Linked DNA regions of Elephas maximus indicus. The protein of the gene in region 3 interacts with the protein of the main gene of each other region in a pairwise test. Links are inferred from orthologs where the notes say so. Each region holds a gene or a part of one and is shown on either strand. Other genes may lie near its edges.

Evidence for each region.
Region 1: the proteins of ADRB2 (region 3) and GPR37 interact in a protein complementation assay, tested with the Homo sapiens proteins (2 studies listed by BioGRID and IntAct, with this or other methods). The link is inferred for Elephas maximus indicus from reciprocal best matches to the Homo sapiens genes ADRB2 and GPR37.
Region 2: the proteins of ADRB2 (region 3) and KCTD13 interact in a protein complementation assay, tested with the Homo sapiens proteins (2 studies listed by BioGRID and IntAct, with this or other methods). The link is inferred for Elephas maximus indicus from reciprocal best matches to the Homo sapiens genes ADRB2 and KCTD13.

Annotation. Positions count from the first base shown.
Region 1 is NC_064826.1:25,080,363-25,087,878, forward strand, and holds the start of GPR37 (prosaposin receptor GPR37), read left to right. Parts: upstream 1-4,506; 5' UTR 4,507-5,241; coding exon 5,242-6,270; intron 6,271-7,516.
Region 2 is NC_064830.1:89,343,256-89,350,187, forward strand, and holds the start of KCTD13 (BTB/POZ domain-containing adapter for CUL3-mediated RhoA degradation protein 1), read left to right. Parts: upstream 1-3,877; 5' UTR 3,878-4,230; coding exon 4,231-4,717; intron 4,718-6,146; coding exon 6,147-6,316; intron 6,317-6,932. UniProt on the Homo sapiens protein: Substrate-specific adapter of a BCR (BTB-CUL3-RBX1) E3 ubiquitin-protein ligase complex required for synaptic transmission.
Region 3 is NC_064820.1:163,838,371-163,845,493, forward strand, and holds the start of ADRB2 (beta-2 adrenergic receptor), read left to right. Parts: upstream 1-4,087; 5' UTR 4,088-4,315; coding exon 4,316-5,504; exon of another isoform or gene 5,505-6,185; intron 6,186-7,123. UniProt on the Homo sapiens protein: Beta-adrenergic receptors mediate the catecholamine-induced activation of adenylate cyclase through the action of G proteins. The beta-2-adrenergic receptor binds epinephrine with an approximately 30-fold greater affinity than it does norepinephrine.

The DNA.
Region 1 (7,516 bases), on a different chromosome or scaffold from region 3:
ACAGGTTTTTTTTTTTTTGTAGGTATTGGAGACCACTCCTTTTGTCTGTCTGTGTCACAAGACACAGTCCAAAGATCTCTGTGGCATGTGGTTTATTTGATAGAAAAGGATACCAATCAACAAAATCAACCCATTGCCGTAGATTTGATTCCAACTAATAGTGACCCTATAGGACTGAGTAGAACTGCCCCATAGGGTTTCTAAGGCTGTAATCTTTACGGAAGCAGACTGCCATATCTTTCTTCTGCAGAGCAGCTGGTGGGTTCCAACCACGGACCTTTTGATTCGCAGCTGAGTGCTCAACTACTGCGCAACCAGGCCTCCTCCAGAAAAGAATAAAATGGTACTAAATAATCTCAAGATCACAGTATGCCTGGGGTTCCTATGAGAACCACTTCTCTCAGTCCCAGAACAAAGCTTCTCTAAGTGTGTTCCAAACCAGGGTACTGCTTGGGGACCATCTGTGAAAGCCACCTCTGAGTTTTGTTAACATGCATGAGAACTAATATAAATTATATAATTTTGTTTCAATCAATTATATAACAAAAATTCATCTCTGAGCAAACACTCTCAGTACTTGTTTCATAAGATCCTTCTATAAACGTCTACCATATTATTGTTTTGTGTGTTTAGAAGACCAGCTAGAGCCAGGCTTTTCTTCTCCTGGTAGGCTGCACTAGATCTCACTATTTCTTCAGGACCACTGTCTGCTTCCACGCTGTGGCTTGATTTGAACTTTGTTGATGATGTCCTTTTTGGTGCAGAAATTTAAAACATTAAGGTAATTCATATTTGTTATTTTTATCTTTTATGCTTTTGAGTCCTACCTGTCTTACTCTGATGTTATAATGATATTTTTGTTTTCATCTAAAAATTTGAAATACTTTTCTGATTTAGGTCTTTAATCTGTCATATATTTTTATATATAGAATGAAGAAGGAAATACAAATTTTGCCATATATCTGTCAATTTTTCCAATAGCATTTATTGAGTAATCCAACTAACCCTACCATTTGTAATGGCAGTTCTTTTCATATATCAAATTCCCATGTAAGATTATTCATGTTTCCTTATTTCCTGTTCTGTTCCATTTGTCTATTTGGCCATCCCTGCACCAACAACATGCTAGTTTTATACTGTAGCTATATCAGTAGTCTTGCTATGTGGTAAAGTCCATCTGTGAACTAAAAAATATATGTATAATTCTATTAGATTTTTTATGTAGGCTTATCTCATCTACAAATAATGCCAATTTTATTTCTTTCCAATGCTTATTTGTTTTTCTTGTCTTATTTCATTGGTAAGGATGTTCAGTACAATGCAGATGATAGAAGAGGTCATTTGTGTTCTGTTCTAATTTTAAAGGGAATTTTTTTTTGATATTTTGACATTAATGCTCACTGTCTTTTATTAGTTGACATTTATATTAAGGAAGCTTCTTTTCTATTTCTAGTTAACAGTATTAATAATGGATGATGGTTGCATTTAACCAAATGCTTCTCCTGCATCTATTGAAATGTATTTTTGTCCTTAAATATTTCAACTGGCTAAATTATAAAAATATATCCTATATTTAAAAAAAATGGATGCTGCTGAATTCAATTTGTCAGAATTTTATTTTGGATTGCTGTGTATATGTTTGTACCAAAAAAACCCAAACCTGTTGCCGTCGAGTCAATTCCGACTATAGAGACCCTATAGGACAGAGTAGAACTGTCCCATAGAGTTTCCAAGGAGTGCCTGGTGGATTCAAACTGCCAACCTTTTTGCTAGCAGCCGTAGCTCTTAACCACTACGCCGCCGGGGTTTCCTTTTACGTTTGTAAGTGCTCAAAAACTGCCTCATCGGAAAGGCTTTCAGTGATCGTCCTTGTAAGTGAGCATCCCTCCCTCATGCAGCACTGTATTCCCTTTCTGTTCTTTTCTTCATAGCACTTAGCGTTATCTGACACATTATACAGTTATTTGTTTAATTGCATATTCCCTGTCTCCCCCTGGAGAATATAAATTCAGTGAGAGCAGAACTTTATTTTGTTCACTGTTGTACCCTTAGTACCTTGAGCAGAATATTTGTTTAATGAATAAATGCTTTTGAGGGAATGAATTAGTGTATTTGAATGACTAAATTAATTTATGAAAGAATAGTGTTATTAGCCTATAATTGTTTGTCTCTGTGTTTCTGCCTGGTTTTGACATCAAAGTTATGCTGGCTTCATAAAATGAATCGATTAGCTCTGGAACATTTTCTACAAGTGTTATTTCTTGTCATCCCTGTTTAGCACAAATGACTAAGCACTTGACCACTAACCAAAAGGTTGGCTACTCCAACCCACCCAGAGATGCCTCAGAAGAAAGGGCTGGCAATCTGCTTCCGAAAGGTCACGGCCTTAAAACCCCTATGTGCGGATCTACTCTGAAACAGATGGGGACCCCGTGAGTGGGAATCAACAGGAGGGTAACTGGTTTTTTGTTTTTTTTTTTTTGGTTTAGCACTGAAACATTTTATTTAAGTGTGTATTTATTTCTTAGACTTTGTTAAGGCTTGGTGCTCTCTTGTGGGTAGATGTTGATGAATGATTTGATTTCTTTAATGCTATTGGTCTATTTAGTTTTCCAATTTTTTTTTTCTTGTGCTATGTTTGATAGTTTATATTTTTCAGAAAATTGTTCCTGTTGTTTACATTTTCAGATTAATTTGGTGGATTGCTGTCGTATAGCTGCAGTAGGAAATTACCACAAACTCAGTGGTAATTTGATGCATTTACACGATGTATTATTTTACATTTCTGGAAGTCATTAGTCAAAAATGGTCAGTCAGGGCCTTATCCTTGCCTTTCGAGCTTCTAGGGGCTGCTGGCATTCTTTGGCTCAAGGTCGCACATCACTCCGACCCCTGCTTATGTCCTCCCATCTGCTTCTCTGATTCTGACCTTACCGCCTCCCTCTTACAAGAACCCATGTGATTACATTAGCCTAATGGGATAATCCTGTATTATCTCCCCATTTTAAAATCCTTAATTTAATCACATTTGCAAAGTCTCTTTTGCCATGTAAGGGGTCATATTCACAGGTATCAGGGATTAGGATGTGCACATTTTTGGGAGACCTTTACTTGCCACCACTGGCATATTTTTCATTGTGTTTTCTTCTCTCTAGATATGTTGCCTTTTTTATTTTAAAATGTGTTTATTTCATCCTTTATTACTTTCTCTTAATCATTTTGTCTGAGACTTGTATATTTCATTAACCATAAGCCCATATCTGTGACAGGGGTGTGGAGTATGGTATACAGGCTAGGAAGGCAGGGTCAGCCACGCTGGGAGTTTTGTTCAAGTTAATACCTCCCCTCCTGTCATTTTCTAAGAGGAACACTGGTGGCGCAGTGGTTAAGTGCTTGGCTGCTAACCAAAATGTCCGCTGTTCGAACCCACCAGTTGTTCTGAGGGAGGAGAATGTGGCAATCTGCTCCTGTAAACATTACAGCCTTGGAAACCCTATGGGGCAGCTCTACCCACTCCTGTAGGGTCGCTATGAGCCAGAATCCACTCCACGGCAGTGGGTTTGGTCACTTTCTACACAAAGGGTTTGCACTAGACTACTAACCTAAAGGTTCGTAGTTGGAACCTACAGAGCAGTGCCACCCAGGAAAGGACTGGTGATCCTTAGTAAAGATTACAGCCAAAAAACAAACAAAAAAAAACCTAAGGAGCAGCTTTTCTCTACAACACAGGAGGTGCCACGAGTCAGAATCGACTGGACGGCAATGGGTTTGGTTTTTGGTTTGGATCATTTCCTACCACTTCATCAAACAAAACTGCGTCCTTCGTGCCCTGGCTGGTTCTAAGTAAAGCCTTAGAGGATGCTTCCTAATTCAGTGTTAAAGGTAATGATGTATCCGCATCCTCACTCTTAAATCCTGCCCCCGGACCTGCTAATCTTCGGTGATTGAAACCTCAGAGCTCCCCTTCTCCCCTCTCTCAGCTCCTGGGAATACCTAAGGAGGTGAGCGCCTCACCTTTCTAGTCCCTCGGTTCTGAGGCTCGGGCATGCGCACCGGCCGCGCCGCTTGGCGGCGACAGCGTGGGTCTCTCGCTGGCACCGCGGCTCCGGGACCAGTCGGGCTGGTTCCGACAGCTGGGGAATTAACCCGTCCCGCCCATTCCCTAGCCTCGAGCCGCGCAGACTCCGCGCCTCCGCCCTTGTTCCTCGCAGCTTCCAGCTCGTACGAGTGAGAGCCTCTACAAAGGGCTTGAATGAAGCGTCCGTGGCTTTAGTAAGTCCTAAACCACCAGGGGATCCCGTCTTCCCACAAACCAGCGTCTCTCTGAGGAGGAGGGGCAGGCGGCGAGGAGGCGAGCCATCGGTGTCGCCGGCGCGCGCAGCAACTGGGGCGGCGGGGAGAGGCCGGGCCACCGCCCCCTTCCCGGCCATGCACCGCCTCGCCCGCGGCGGCTCCAGGCACCGCGCTCCCCGCCCGCGCGGCACCGGCTGTCGCGGCCACCAGCTCCTGTGGCCGCCGGCACCGGCCAACGAGGTGCAGCGCCGGCCCAGCCCCGCGATCCTCTTCCCCGCGGGGACCCGCCGCCCGGGCCGACCCCGCGTCAACTTTGGGCCGGAACAGCAGCAACTTTGACAGTGGCCACAGGTTTCCCACCCCGCTTCTACTCGGCAGCAGTGGCCTCGCGGGTCTCCGGGGCTCATCCGCTCGGCGTCTGGCTGTTTGCAACCTGTTTCCAGCTAGCGGGGAGCGGGAGTGTGGCTGCCAGCCGTCTGGGGGAGGGGGACTTGTTTTTCCTTCCCTCTGGAGACCTCGGCTCGCAACTGGATAAAGCAGCATCGAAAGGATGTAAATAGGCAGAGCAACTGTTACCAGGAAGGCGATCATCCAAGGCAGGGAGAAGCGTGGGGCTGCGTCCGGGCTTTTCCCAGGCGCAACATTAATCAACAGTCAGGTGTTGGTGGTAACTTTTCAAGGTCAGCCACCGGGAGCAGCGGCTTCCTTCTCGGACCCTTGGGGGTACTCAGCGCTCGGATTGGATTTGGAGGAGGAAATGCCAAAAAAGGAAGAATTTTAGGGAGGGTGTGACCCCACGACCCATCCTTCAACCTCCCCTTAGTCTCTGGCCCCCCACTGCCTGAGCGGGGGTGAGTAGTGACATGCGTTTAACTCGCAGCAGTAACTTAGGCTGCGGGTGTCGAGCCTAAGCCTCAGTTGCGCTGCCGGGTGCGCCCACGCGGAGCCATGCGTGTCCTGGGCGCTCCGCTCACCAGCGCCTTGCGGCTGCTGCTTCTACTGCTACTCCAGGTTTCTGCGGCTCCTGCCCTCGGGGCCGCTCCGGAGTCCGGGAATGAAACTTGTGTAGGGGAGAGCTGCTCACCTACACTGACCCAGAGCCACAGCAGGGACGTTTCAGGGACGGGAAATTCTACAAAAGACGTTCTGCGAACCCTTGCGCCCTGGGAGAGGGAGGAGCTGGAGGCAGTGGTGCGCGCGGTGCCCTCCTGGGACCTGTCGGCGGCCCGGGGCGGTGACCCAGGTGTGGCAAGAGGGGCGGAGGCGGCGGCCAAGGGGCTCTCGGGACCCCTGACCAGGGCGCCTGGCACCTGGAGGCGGAAAGGTGTCTGGAACCAGGAACCCCCAGGAGCTCTGGGGAGGGGCTATCCCACAGCCCTGCGGCGCTTACTGCAGACCTCAGAGGAGAAAGGGAAAGGTCCTAGGGGCCCTGGCATTTCGGTGCGCAGCAAAGAGCACACTGTGAGGACAGAGCTCGGAACCAGCGACCTTTTTTACCGGCCTAAGAGAGCCGGGAAGCTCCAGGGTCCCCACCGCGAGCCCCCACCTAAATCTGTCAGTGGACCCGCGGGGCACGAAGGGCGGACACTTGCCCCTCCAGGCAGGGCGCTGGCCCAGAATGGGTCTTCGAGTGAAGGGGTCCTGGACCGCGGCGGACCCCGCCGGGGAAACAGCACGAACCGGCGCGTGAGACTCAAGAATCCCTTCTATCCGCTGACCCAGGAGTCTTACGGAGCCTACGCTGTCATGTGTTTGTCGGTGGTGATCTTTGGGACCGGCATCATCGGCAACCTGGCGGTGATGTGCATCGTGTGTCACAACTACTACATGCGCAGCATCTCCAACTCCCTCTTGGCCAACCTGGCCTTCTGGGACTTCCTCATCATCTTCTTCTGCCTTCCGCTCGTCATCTTCCACGAGTTGACCAAGAAGTGGCTGCTAGAGGACTTCTCCTGCAAGATCGTACCCTATATTGAGGTAATGCCTCCCAGGGGGTCTCTAGCTGCTGGCTTTACCGGTTTCCAGCATTCTAGTATTAAGAAGCTTCTACTGGGCACACCTGCCTTCCTGAACCCTTCACTTTTTCTCGGGATCCCTCCTCCATTTCTCTTTTCAATCATTTATGCACGTATGTATAAAAATAGGGAACTTTCCACAGGCACCTGCAAACTCATCTTCTTCCTGGGGTTGTGAAGAAAAAAAAAAATCACATGATGTATACAATTGTTTGGATTATAAATCTGTCTCTCAGAATATGGGGTTAGGTATATACCTGATGTGTCATCTGTCAGATACTTTAGGGTTAACAGCCAGTCTGCTGCTGTCTTTATCAGAGCCCATTAAGGAAAAAAAAAAAAAAAGAAAGAAAAAACTTCAGCATCTATCTCCTAGATAACTTGTGCTCCAACGTGACTTTTCCCCAAGCAGATTACTGAATTAAGCACCAAGCTGCTAGCTGCATTTTTTCTTTACTTTCTTAAATACCAAAGTTGGAGCAATATGTTATTAAACAAAGGAAATCTGCCTTTCTTGTCAGTTGGCCTCATAATATAGTAATGAACTCCCAAATTAGTTCAACTGTCTTTGGCTGTCTTCCATGCTATCCTATCTAAATTCTTAGGTCATTTCTTGTTTCTTTCTCCTTTTCAATTTCTTCACCATTTTATTTATTTCGTCTGGATGAATGAGACATTGGCCATGCTGGTGCAGCCTGTTTAACGCGCATGAAGTGTGTACTCTATATTTGCCATTTGTTATGGGTATAAGAGACTGATTGTCTTAAGGAATTGACTCTAACATTAGAAAATTTCTTAAGAAGAAAGGGGCATGTGATAAGTTCCAAAGCTTTGGAGATAGAAACCTTTCTAAGTAAAATCTTACTATCGGATCCTACAGCTAGTGCCTGAACTGTTGTTGTGGTGGTTGGAATTTGCTCTTTAAATGGCCTCTCTTTAAACACCAGCTCTTGGAAGGAGCCCAAGTGCTTCACCGCCAGTTGTGTTGTTAGCCAGCTGGCCCCTGATTTTCTCCATTCAGACTGTCCATTTCATTTATGGAAGCAGAAGAAGGGAAACTGTAAATATTCCAGAGCCCCTGATCCTGTCTGGCTCCAGGGCCAGTGACACCATGTTCAACATTGTTCCAGGGCCTAAAGCTAGGGGTAAGTAAACAGAAAACAGTACTGACTTAGAAGGACCCAAGCAGGAGACAGTAAATAAGACTC
Region 2 (6,932 bases), on a different chromosome or scaffold from region 3:
TTTCATTCCATTGTGATTGGTAATAATACTTTATATGATTTCAATCTTTTTAAATTTATTAAGACTGATTTTGTGGCCCAATGTATGATCTATCCTGGAGAACAAACCATATGCATTTGAGTAGAACGTGTGTCTGCTATATCTCATTGGTTTATAGGGTTGTTCAAGGCCTCTATTTCCTTACTGATCTTCTCTTAGTCTGTTCTATCCATTATTGAAAGTGGGGTATTGAAGTCTCCAATGATTATTATAGTTGTCTATTTTTCCCTTCAAATCTGTCAATTTTTTTCTTTATATATATTGTGGGTTCTCACACCATACACAAAAATTAACTCAAAATAGACTAAAGACCTACATGTAAGAGCTAAAATTATAAAACTCTTAGAACAAAACAGCAGCAAATCTTCATGACCTTGGATTTGGCAATTGTTTCTTAAATATTACAGTAAAACCCAAAAAACGCTTAAAAAAAACACACAGGCAAAAAAAGAAAAAGTAAATTGGACTTCATCAAAATTAAAAACTTTTGTGCATCTAAGGACACTACCAACAAAGCAAAAAGACAATCCACAGATTGGGAAAAAATACTTGGATATTATATATCTGAGAAGCATTTAATATCCAGAATATATAAAAAATTCCTACAACTCAACAACAACAAAAAATCCAATTTAAAAATGGGCAAAGGATTTGAGCAGACATTTATCCAAAGAAGATATACAAATGGGCAATAAGCACATAAAAAGATGTTCAACATCATTAGTCCATCCAAACTCATTGCCGTAGAGTCAATTCTGACTCATAGTGACCCTATAGGACAGAGTAGAACTGACCCATAGGATTTCCAAGGCTGTAATCTTTATGGAAGAAGACTGCCACATCTTTCTCCCATGGAGCAGCTGGTAGGTTCAAACTACTGACTTTTTGGGTAGTAGCACTTAATCTACTAGGCCACCAGGGCTCCTTCATTAATCCTTAAGGAAATGCAAATCAAAACTATGATTTTGATTTGCTTATCAGTTACCAAACCAAACCAAACAAACCTGTCGCTTGTAGTGACACTATCTGCCCCATAGGATTTCCAAGGAGCAGCTGCTGGATTCAAACTGGTGACCTTTTGGTTAGCAACCATAGCTCTTAACCACTGTGTTACCAGGGCTGCCATCAAATGGATTCAACTCTCGGCAACCCCATCTGTGTGACCGTAGAACCTCCATAGGGTTTTTAGTGATTGATTTTTTTTGGAAAAAAACCCTGGTGGCTTAGGGGTTAAGAGCTATGTCTGCTAACCAAAAGATTGGCAGTTTGAATCCACCTGGTGCTTCCTGGAAGCCCTATGGTGTAGTTCTACTTTGAGTCGGACTTAATGGCAACAGGTTTTTTGGTTTGGATTTTTCTGAAGTAGATCTCTAGGCCTTCTTCTGAGGTGCCTCTGGGAGGACTCATCCTCCAATCTTTTGGTTAGCAATTGAGCAGGTTAACTGTTTGCATCATTCAGAGACTCCTCACACCCACTAGGATGGTTATTATAAAGGAAAAAAGACGAAACTAAAACAACAGACAATAACAAGTGTTGGAGAGAATGTGGAGAAATTAGTGTCTTTGTGCATTGCTGGCGCAAATGGTACAGCCACTGTGGAATATAGATTGGCAGTTTCTCAAAAAGTTAAACAAAGAATTACCACATGATCCAGCAATTCTGCTCCTAGGCATATACGCAAAAGAACTGAACGCAGGAATTAAAACAGACACTTGACATCGATATTCATTGCAGCATTATTATTCACCATAGTCAAAAGGTGGGAACAACCCAAGTGCCCATCAACAGACAAATGGATAAACAAAATGTGGTATATACATACAAGGGAGTACTACTCAGCCATAAAAAGGAATTTAGTACTGATACATGCTGCAACATAAACCTTGAAAGCATGCTAAGTGACACAAAAAGACAAGACGGTTTGATCCCACTTACATAAAATATCTAGCATAGACAAAGTCATAAAAGCATCAAGTAGATTAGAAATTACCAGAGGTGGAGGGAGAGGGTAATGAGTTATTGCTTAGGGGGTACAGTTTCTGTTCAGGGTGATGAAGAAGTTCTGCAATTAGTAGTGATAGTTACACAATATTGCGAACGTACTTGATGCCACTGAATTGTACACTTAAAAACGGTTACAACGGTAAATTTTATGTTCTATGTATTTTACCACAATAATAATAATAATAAAAGCAGCAGCAATAATTCATACTGCAGGTGGAAAGGGTTGTTTGGTCGTTTTCGTGGTTTGAACAATATCCTCTTTTTGTGTTCAGACATGATTACAGAATGGTCTTTTTCTGGATCCATCAATCAGAGAGTGGCTTTGTCTGATGTTGATGCTCTGTGAAACTGTTTATGCTCAACAGAACAACACCACAGCCTAGCGATGAGTGCAAGGCCAGCTCCTAGCAACACCACAGCTTCTAGAGGCACAGTGCAAACCAACTCCCAGCTGTCAACAGCTGCTTTTTTCTCTCTCTAGCTACACTTGAAAAACCAGAATTAGCAAACTGTTTTGGTAGAACAGAAACCCTGGTGGCATAGTGGTTACGAGCTTTGCTGCTAACCAAAAGGTCAGGAGTTCAAATGCACTAGGTGCTCCTTGGAAACCCTACGGGGCAGTTCTACTCTGTCCCATAGGGTCACTATGAGTCGGAATTGACTTGACGGCAACCGGTTTGGTTTGTTTGTTTTTGGTAGCATGGAGCCCTGGTGGCACAATGGTTAAGAGCTTGGCTGCCAGCCAAAAGTTGGCAGTTCAAATCCACCAGCCACTCCTTGGAAACTCCGTGGGGCAGTTCTACTCTGTCCTATAGACTCACTATGAGTCTGAATTGACTCATCGAAAATGTTTTTTTGTTTTTTTTTTTTTGGTAGAACAGGAGCCCCCGTGGCACACTGGTTAAGCATTTGGCTGCTAACCAAAAGGTCAGCAGTTCAAATCCACCAGCTGCTCCTTGGAAACCCTATGGGACAATTCCACTTTGTCCTATAGGGTCACTATAAGTCAGAATCGACTCGACAGCGTTTTTGGTTTGGTAGACTATGAGCTCTCCAAGTCACCACAAGCCCCACTATTTCCCAAAATCTTATAACTGGCTAACTTCATTTATTTACGTTCCTGCCTGTCCTCTGCAGGCATTTAAATTTGCATCACCTTACTAAGCAAAAAAGAAGCTAACCACGCCCAGAGACAAGCGACTTGTCTAGCATCACTCTGTGAACTGGTGGCTGGATTGAAACTAGAACTCTGTCTTTAGTTTTCCCGCCAGTAAATCCCCCTGCTAGACATTCAGGTAATTGTTATCCTCTAAACTGGATGCTGATTAGGTCTGAAAATAACACTTCTCACCACATTTTGTCAACATTGTGTTCCTATTTCATTTCCTCTTTCGTGATTGAGTAATCTTTTACAGGCACTAGGTCTCATGACATTATCTGGGATTCTAAGGTCCTTGCTCAGCTACCCTGACATTCTTTCTGCTCCTCAAATACTGTGTGACAAGATTGTGCCTGCCTAGGGACCTTTGTATTTGCCGATCCCTCTGCTTGGAACTCTCTTCCCTCACATCTCCACTTCTCAGTCCCAGCTCAGAATCACCTCCTCAGAGAGGCCTTCCCTAAGGGACCTACCTACTCACACCCTTCAGGCCAGGTGCGGATTAACCAGTAAGCAAGGTACGCATAGACTTACTTGTGCTTATTCACTAATCTGCAGTGCACAATTTCACCAGTGAAAACCAGGTGAAATTGTGCACTCCAGATCAGACAACACAAGTAACCCTGAACGTTGTTTGGTTGCTGGGTAGTCCGTCCCTGCTGCAGGCTCTAGCACCCCTGCCACCTTCTCTAGGAGACCAGCCTCTTTCGACTTCCTTTAAGAGCCACCGTTGGTGTCCCGTTCGCAGTTCTCATCGCAGCCTGTCAAGCGCGTGAGTCTGGGAGGCGGGAAACCTTGCCCAATCCCCTTCCCCTCTCTGGGCATCCATGTTCCCTTCAAGCCCGGGAAGCGGACTGAGATCAGAGACACAAACGCGGGCGGGAACGTAGTATTCCACGTCAGGCAAGCTTATCCTGGGTGCCTTCTCGCTCTGGTTTCCCGGACTCGCGAGAGGCCCCCGGCCCTGAGCTGCAAGCACCGGAACCCTCGCTGGCCCCCGGCGCGCAGCCCTCCAGAACCACTACGCATGCTCCGCACTCGGCTCCCCGCGGTCAGGGGCGGGGCCTTGACGCGCCTGCGCAGATGCTGGGCTCCGGTTTCCGGGCCTGGCGGACGCGGTCAGGCTGAGGACCAGTGTCGCCTAGTAGCGGTGGCTTGTGGCCGTGTGGGCCGAGCGCTCTGGCTCAGGGGCCGGGATCAGGGAGTCTTTGGCAGCGGGCCGCAGGGCGCAGAGAGAGCCCGGGATCGCCGCCCACCGCCACCACCTGGCATGTCGGCCGAGGCCTCGGGCCCGGCGGCGGCCGTGGACCCGTCACTGGAAGTCGCGAAGCCCTCGGGTCTGGAGCCTGGCTCCGCCGCCTACGGTCTCAGTCCGCTGACCCCGAACAGCAAGTACGTGAAGCTGAACGTGGGCGGCTCGCTGCACTACACCACTTTGCGCACCCTCACGGGACAGGACACCATGCTTAAAGCCATGTTTAGCGGCCGCGTGGAAGTGCTCACAGACGCTGGAGGTATGCACGCCGCCCTTGTGCCATGCTCCGTTCCCCAGATTCCTTCCCCCCGACTCTTCTCGTCGCCCAGTCTCCCCACGCCCCTTCTCTTGTGTGCAGTCCAGTCAACTCATTCTCGCCTCTCTCCAGCCCCCACATCGCACTTCATCTTCCCTTTCTCATTCATAATCTCCCTCCTTCTCCTATCCTTTACCCCCAGCAGTAACCAACACTTACGGAGCCCCTAGCCCTGCAGGCGCTGCGGTAAGTCAGTCCTCATTCCACCACGTTACCCGCTTCCGCCCCCATTTCTCCTACCCTTCACCGCTCAGCTCCCGCGACTTGGGAACCAGCCTTGTTGCCAGCAGCACCCCCTCCAGGCCACCTTCATCAGTTTCTTCCAACTCCGCAAGCATTTGTTCATCTATGCCTGGGCACTGCTAACACCAGCCTGGAGATCTTGTCTGTCTGTGTCTTCCTAACACAGGTTCCTATACACTTTAGGAATCTGTCTGTAAATGCAGATTGTAGAAGGAGAAGGCTGCTTTGGGTTTGCCAGGGACCCTAGATTAAGGGTGGACAGTTCTCCTTGGCAGTTACCTTACCATTCATTCAGATTTGGGCCTCACTGCCCAGGTAGGACATTAAAATTTGAGGGGAGGGTGGAATTCAGAAGAGGTTGACAAGAATTGTGAGAGCAGAAAAACAAAAGTTGGGGAGGTGGCACACAGAAGGTGAATAATTCATTTACTCAAGTATTTGTGAAGTGTCAGTTAATGCTGGAGATACATTGGTAAAGGAATCTGACAAGACTCCCATGGAATTTACATTTTTGGAGAGGAGGGACAATAAGCAAGTAAACTATATATATATATATATGTAACTGCAGATAGTAATACATTCTGTGAAGACTGTAAATAAAAGTTAAGATGGTAGCAGCCTGGAGGGTGGGTATAAACAGAAAAACCAAACCCAGTGCAGTCGAGTCGATTCTGACTCATAGTGACCTTATAGGACAGAGTAGAACTGCCCCATAAGGTTTCCAAGGAGCGCCTGGCGGATTTGAAATGCCAACCTTTAGGTTAGCAGCCATAGCAGTTAACCACTATGCCACCAGGGTATAGACATTGTAAATGGGATGATCAGAATCAACAAGACAGGTTAGAAGTTTACTGATAAGGTAATTCTATAACAGTTTTCTCATGGCTGAGAACCTTCTGACCACAGAATACACTTGGAAGGTAATTGATTCGCTGTGGCTGGAAATGTTAAAAGGGGTCTATGGGACTGAAGATGTTTTAAAGGATTTTCTTGAATGTGACAAAAGTTTGGGGCGGATCAGAATTCAGACTTCCTTATAACCTTGGAATCCTTTTTTCATAAAAAACATAGTAGTTCCAAGGCCCCCCAGCAAAGTCATCCTTCCTCCTGCCTCCTTCCACCCTACCAGGTTGGGTGCTGATTGACCGGAGCGGCCGCCACTTTGGTACAATCCTCAACTACCTGCGGGACGGGTCTGTGCCACTACCTGAGAGTACCAGAGAACTAGGGGAGCTACTAGGCGAAGCACGCTACTACCTGGTACAGGGCCTGATTGAGGACTGCCAGCTGGCCCTGCAGGTGAGGGCCCCTCCCCTACCTCCTGAGTCCCACGCCTATGCCCATGGCCCTGGGAGAGCTACCCACTACTGTCGAGTCAATTCCGACTTATAGTGACCTTATAGCGCCGGGTTGAACTGCCCCATAGGGTTTCCAAAGCTGTAATCTTCGCGAAAGCAAACTGCCACATCTTTCTCTTTCGGAGTGGCTGGTGGGTTTGGCCAACTAACCTTTTGGTTAGCAGCCAAGTGCTTTAACCACTACGCCCCCAAGTTCCCTTTTTAGATTTAAGAAAAAACAAAACTGTACCCGTTGCCATCAAGTCGATTCCGACTCATAGCAACCCTATAGGACAGAGTAGAACTGCTGCCCCATAGAGTTTTTCAGGGAGCGCCTGGTGGATTTGAACCACTGACCTTTTGGTTAGCAGCTGTAGCACTAAACTACTACGCCACCAGGGTTTCCCCTTTTTAGATATTAAACCCAAAAAAAAAAAACCATTGCCATTGAATTGATTCTGACTCATAGCAACCCTGTAGGACAGTAGAACTGCCCCATAGGGTTTCCAAGGCTGTAATCTTTACAGAAGCAGACTGCCACATCTTTCTTCCCAGAGTGGCTGATGGGTTTGAAGCGC
Region 3 (7,123 bases):
CCAGCCATGTAACTCAATGACATTGATAATTTTCAGAATCATTCTTCTTTCCTTTCTAAGGATCTGGGTTATGCTCCTTTTTTCAATTATTTTTTCCGGCAATTCAAATTAAAAACAAATTACTCATTATCCATGTTCAAAGTGTCCTTTCACACATATGAACAGATAAGACAAATATGCTTTCTATGCATATTTTTTGATTCAAAAACAAGATAACACTAATAGCTATCTCTTTTCCAAGGCACTGTGCTAAGCACTTTACATGCATTTAATCTCATTTAATAGATACCTCTTTAGGAAGGTAATATTAAAGACAGACCTTTAAAATAATCACTTAGAAAGAAATCTACAGACGTCTCTCTGCTCAAAGAATCATAAAGATGGGAGGGACCTTGTCTAAACCAAGACACAGGATAAGTTTTCCTAATCCATTCAGCCTTTCGTGGGAGGACATTCTCAACAAGATAATTAAGCACTATGGCCTAAGATACCCATTACGTGTAATGATTTAACTTCTCTCATGTCCCTAGATGGTCATTGTTCCAACGAAGCTATGTATCATCCTTGGGAGAATTGAGAAATGTAGTCACTCTAATAATTTTCTTTAAGGTTTGATTCTCTAGCAGAAGCCCAATTAAGGAAAGCTACTAGGCACCACAGAGCCTTACTCTTAAATAATTCATTAAGTCAGTCAAAATGTGTGTCTGTGTTCATGTGTTTGCCTGTTTGGCAGGCAGGAAGCTACAAATCAGTCTCTTAAGGGATTGACAAAATATGTAATTAGACACTATCAATCACCATAAAAAAGCCTGCTTTTTCTTATAGCAGATAAAGGTGCATTTAATCTACTAAGAACTTCCCAGCTCAACTGCAGCATTAACTCTCTAAGGCCATGAGCACAAACAATAAGCAGTGCTTGTCAGACTCCTCTGCTGGGAAATGGAACAGTAGCGCCGGGCAGTAACTGCATACCAGGCCAGGAGGCAGACCTAGACTCCTAATTTGCCCTGCCACTTTGAACCAGACACTTCACTTTTCTGCCCTTCAGTTTCCTTATTTGCAAACTGAAGGCAATAAGCTAAATGATCTATTAAACCCTTTTTTAATTCTAACCTTCTTCTAATCCTATGATTTGAAAAGGAGGTCAGGAGAAAAGACTCTTGGCAAGAAGACAACAGCTCGAAATTCCTACCAGCTTGGTGATGCAGCAGAGAGAGAGAGAAATAATCCAGTTGGCAAGGCTGGTGGGCAAGGGCTTGGAACTTCTTAGTAGACATAAGCAATTTCCCCTTCTCGATTTAGCGTTTGTGGTGTTTTTAAAACGTATTTCCCAAAATACTCAGTTAAATTTTTAAGTGACTTACGTGTATATCTAAGTGATCGATTAGTGTTTGTTCTAAAAGGGTTTTCTTTGTTCCTTTTCTTGTATGTGAAAGTTAAACAATATGCTTATTTATTCCATAGTTTCACAAACAGGAAGGAGGTTTTAAATGGTTTAGTTCCACAATTTGGAGTAGATGTATATTTAAGGAAACTTTGTTACATAACAGACACTGCCTCTTCCTAAAATGCATCAGACCAGAGCCAATTGTGGAAAACATAAATATGAGGTGGGTATGTTTTGAAAACCATAGGAACATAATAGATCCTTAATTAATATCTGTGGCTTATATGGGAAATGTGCTTTTTTTTTTTAAGGCATCTGTCTTAGAGAAACAGCTTCTGCTATTGAAAGAAGTTAAAGGGAACTTGTAAGTTGAATACTGTCTCTGAGCTTTGCTTCTACAGTAAACACTCAACTTACTTTCGTCCTGAATTATTGTCTGGTAGAGGAGACTAACAGTATATGCTAAACGAAATAATTTATATAAATATTACTTATAACCCATTTGATTCTCACTGAATCCAATAACAACAGAAAAAAGTTACTTTATTCCCTCTGTAGAGGCAGATGAAATTAGGCTTCATCTTTGTAATGTGCCGAAGGAAAACCAAATCAAAATCAAACCCATTGCAGTTGAGTCGATTCCAACTCATAGAGACCCCATAGGACAGAGTAGAACTGCCCTATAGGGTTTCCAAGGGGCAACTGGTGGATTCAAACTATTGACCTCTTTGGTAGCAGCTGAGATCCAAAGGAAAGTTGAGCTAGAAAGTTCCAAGACAGGTAGACCTGGAATCTGTGTATTCTAATACTAGTTGCAATGCTTCTTCCCTATCTTGCACTCCTTTCTGCACGTAATGATACCAAATCTGTTGCCATCGAGTTGATTCCGACTCATAGTGACCCTATAGGACAGGGTACAACTGCCCCACAGGGGTTCCAAGGAGTGGGTGGTGGATTTGAACTGCTGACCTTTTGGTTAGCAGCCCAGCTCTTAACCACTATGCCACCAGGGTTCCTGTAATGATACGGTATGCAGAAAAGATAAAAGATGGCTTTAGAGCCAGACAAAGCGGGGTTAAAATCCTGCCTCTGGCCATGTGCCTCTAGGCAAGCTATTTCGCTCTTTAAGGCCCATGTGTGAATTAAGTTAAAAATAGTACCCCGGATTGTAGGAAGGATTAAATGGAATAATGTATGAATAGTTCATAGGAAATGTTCCATAAATGTTATCCATTGTTATTTTATTATGTAATCTGCAAAGTATGTTTGACTACATTGCATGAAATACTTTCCATTTTTTAAAGACATACTGATACGTATGAAATCAAACACTGGGCATTAATTTTTTCATAACAGTAAAGTCATATGCCAGATGCCAAAGCAAAGTATTTTGTGGACAAAGACTTTGGTTCTAAGACTGGTCTGCTTTTTATTTTTATTTTTGTAACAAGGAAGAATTATCTTTTGCTTTCTGTACTTTCAAAATGTTCTTAATGTCAGCACATTCTAAATAGATTGAGCCATACGAAATTGCCATTTTGTGGGTCAAACACATCCAAATATTGGCAATTTCATATGGTTCAAACAAATAAATTATAGAGCAAATGAAAGATTTTTTTTTCTTCGCAATAGGTTACTGAAGTAGTCCATGTTGAAATGCAAATGGTCCCATTTTCAATACATTTTCATTCCAACAGATAATGAGGGAATAATGCCACATTCCCAAGAATTAAAAACAAAAGCATACAACTTTCTCCTTCCACCCCCAAGTACATACGTGAAGACCCCAGTTTGAATGAAATCCAAAGAGTAAAATTATGTCTCAATACCCACAAAATTCCCAAGGAGGGCACCAAAAGTACTTGACAGCGAGTGTACTGAGGAAATCGGCAGCTGCTGAAGTCACCTCCTGTGGTCTTGCCAAATGTTTGAAAAAGGAATATGCTGGGTGTCTGTGTGCGGGGAGCGTGGAAGTAGGGGTGGGGGCTGCATTTATAAATGCCTGAGTGGGGGGGTTTGTGAGTAGGGACAGGGACGACCGTGTCTGGGTCGCTCTCCATGTCTCTGCGTGTTCCTGTGGGTTCATTTCTTTCTGTGTGCGACCACGCTTTTGCACTTCTGTGTTTGCTTTTGGCCTCGCCTCTGTGTTGGACAGAGGTGACATTGTGCCTGTCTGCTTCTGTGTGTGTGCGCGCGCGCGTGTGCATGTTGGTGCGCTAGACGGGTGTGTCTCCGTGTCTGTGGCTGTGATTCCGTATAAGTCTGAGCATGCCTGTCGGGGTGCATTTGTGCCTGTACGTGCGTGTCTCGGTGGGCACTCTAGTCTCTTTTTCCGCACGTCGGGGACTGCCGGTGTGCTGCCCGCTGCGCTAAGACCTCATTGCGTTCAGGCTCCCGGGACAGAGAGGTAGCAGCCATATGAGAGCCCAAAGCTCCTAGGTTGGCTGTTAAGCACGCCGGACCCAGCTTTAGCATTCTGGGTGCAGCCCGGAGTAGCCGGCAGGGAGTGGTGGCCCGCCCGCCTAAAGGGTAGCAGCTGAGCCCCGCCCGAGCCAGGCCAGGAGGGGGAGAGCTAGGGGCGGGAAGGGAGGGGGGCCTCGCCCTTTCGGGGCTGCCCGCGCGCCATTGGCGGAAAGTTGACGCACGTCACGGAGAGGGCAGTTCCCCTAAAGTCCTGTGCACATAACGGGCTGGGCGGACTCAGAGGCGGCTCCTGCAGGGCGCTGGCTGCGACTGACGGGCACAGCGAGCCCAGGGCACCCCGCAAAGCTGAATGTGAGGGACGCACCCCACTGCATCCACCCCACGGCCGCTGAATGAGGCTTCCAGGCGTCCGCTCGCGGCCCGCAGCGCCCCGCCGGGGGTCCGCCAGCTGAGGCGCGACCAGTGCGCCTGCAGCAAGTGCGCTCACCTGCCAGCCTACGCGCCATGGGGCAACCCGGGAACAGCAGCGTCTTTTTGCCTGCGCCCAACGGAAGCCACGAGCCGCACCACAACGTCACGCAAGAACGGGACGAGGCGTGGGTGGTGGGCATGGGCATCGTCATGTCGCTTATCGTCCTGGCCATTGTGTTTGGTAACGTGCTGGTCATCACGGCCATCGCCAAGTTTGAGCGTCTGCAGACGGTCACCAACTACTTTATCACCTCGCTGGCCTGTGCGGACTTGGTCATGGGCCTGGCGGTGGTGCCCTTTGGGGCCAGCCACATCCTCATGAAAATGTGGAGTTTTGGCAATTTCTGGTGCGAGTTTTGGACTTCCATTGACGTGTTGTGCGTCACTGCCAGCATCGAGACCCTGTGTGTGATCGCAGTGGATCGTTATTTTGCCATCACATCACCCTTCAAGTACCAGAGCCTGCTGACCAAGAATAAAGCCCGGGTGGTCATTTTGATGGTGTGGATCGTGTCAGGCCTTACCTCCTTCTTGCCCATCCAAATGCACTGGTACCGGGCCACCCATGCGGAAGCTATCAACTGCTATGCCGAAGAGACCTGCTGTGACTTCTTCACGAACCAAGCCTATGCCATTGCCTCCTCTGTTGTGTCCTTCTACTTGCCCCTGGTGGTCATGGTCTTTGTCTACTCCAGGGTCTTCCAAGTAGCCAAAAGGCAGCTCCAGAAGATTGACAAATGTGAGGGCCGCTTCCATGCTCAAAACCTCAGCCAGGTGGAGCAGGATGGGCGGAGTGGGCATGGACATCGCAGGTCGTCCAAGTTCTGCTTGAAGGAACACAAAGCCCTCAAGACTTTAGGCATCATCATGGGCACGTTCACCCTCTGCTGGCTGCCCTTCTTCATTGTCAACATTGTGCATGTGATCCAGGACAACCTCATCTCCAAGCAAGTTTACACCCTCCTTAACTGGGTGGGCTATGCCAATTCTGCTTTCAATCCCCTTATCTACTGCAGGAGCCCGGATTTTAGGATTGCCTTCCAGGAACTTCTGTGCCTGCGTAGGTCTTCTCTGAAGGCCTATGGGAACGGCTGCTCCAACAACGGCCACACCAAAAGTGACTGCACAGGGGAGCAGAGTGAATATCACCTGGGGCAGGAGAAAGAAAGTGAACTGCTGTGTGAGGACCCTCCAGGCACTCAAGGCTTTGTGAACTGTCAAGGTACTGTGCATAACGATAGCATTGATTCCCAAGGGAGGAATTGTAGTACAAATGACTCACTGCTGTAAGCAGTATTTCTACTTTTTAAGACTTCTCCCTCCCCAAGGAACACTAAACAGACTTGTTAACTTGAGTGTAATAAATTTAGAATAAAATTGTATAGAGATGTGCAGGAGGAAGGAAATCCTTCTGCCCCTTTTTTTTATTTTTTTAAGCTGTAAAAAAAAGAGAAAGCGTATTTGAGTGATTATTTGTTTCTTGTACAGTTCAGTTCCTCTTTGCATGGAACTTTTAAGTTTATGTCTGAAGGGCTTTTGTCCCAGAGGACCTGGGTCTGCTGTTTTGATGACTCCTCCGTGTATCTACCTCACTGGTCAAGTGTTAGGGGTAGCGTTTTGCTGCTGGTAATTTACGTCTGAAGGAGATGTTCCTTCCTGCACCCTTGGACTTGAGGATCTTGTGTATCTCGGACCTTTCAGCTGTGAACATGGACTCTCCCTGCTCCTCTTATTTGCTCAAACAGGGTGTTGTAGGCAGGGATTTGAGGGGCAGCTTCAGTTGTTTTCCTGAGCAAAGTCTAAAGTTTACAGTAAATAAATTGTTTGACCATGACTTCATTGCACCTGTTTCTCCAAAACCCCTTGATTGGAGTGTTGTTGCCTCCCCCACTGGAAACCACAGGTAACTATTTGTAATAACTGCTCAGTGACTTAATGCTGAATGATCCAGGAATGACATGTGCTGATTGCTTAACGCTTTCGCCTGCCTTGAAATCGGCTGCTACAAACCTGTATCTCTCCTAACACTTGTGTTCCAAATCCGTTCTACCTGCTCTCAGCATAGCTCAGCTCAGCCTCCAGTTATGATTCTGTGTTGTTACATCAGAAACACTGACTCATAGAAATGGAGCTGTGGGCATATGTTTTGTCCCTCCACACCCCCCCACCCCCCCCCCCCTTTCAGTTCTGCTTGTTTGAGAACTGCTTATATTTATGTCTTTGCCATGTCTTATAGTGGAGAGCCTTGTACTGCATCAGGGCTTGACATTTTCAGGAAATAAGGAAGATGTTCTTATGAAAAATCTATTCAAACAGAGCCCAGCATTCCAAGGGAGGGCAAACAGGGCACTGGTCACCGAGAGAAAAGCTGGGAAACATGTAGCTATGAACACCTCAAGACCGTGAAACAGGGTTTTAGCCCTTCTTCCTTCTGTCGCCTTTTTCCTTTTCTTTTGACCCGTCTCACTTCAATATAAACCAGCGTTTCTCAGTGTCAGCATTATTAGCATTTTGGACCAAATAACTCTTTGTTGTGGGGGACTGCCCTGTGCATTGTTGAATGCTTAACAGCATCTCTGGCTTCTACCCACTAGATGCCAGTAACACCACCCACCCAGTTGTGACAATGAAAAATGTCTCCAGACACTGTCAAATGCCTCCTAGGGGTGAAATTGCCCTTGGTTGAAAATCTCTGGTACAAACTTTTAAAATCTAAAGAGATTTTAGATTCTGTCTAATGCAACAGTTTTACCTTGCAGAGCCTCTGAGAGCTATGGCGATATTGCTCCTAGTTGAGAACCACTGGTATAAACTTTTAAAATCTAAACAGATTTTTAGGTT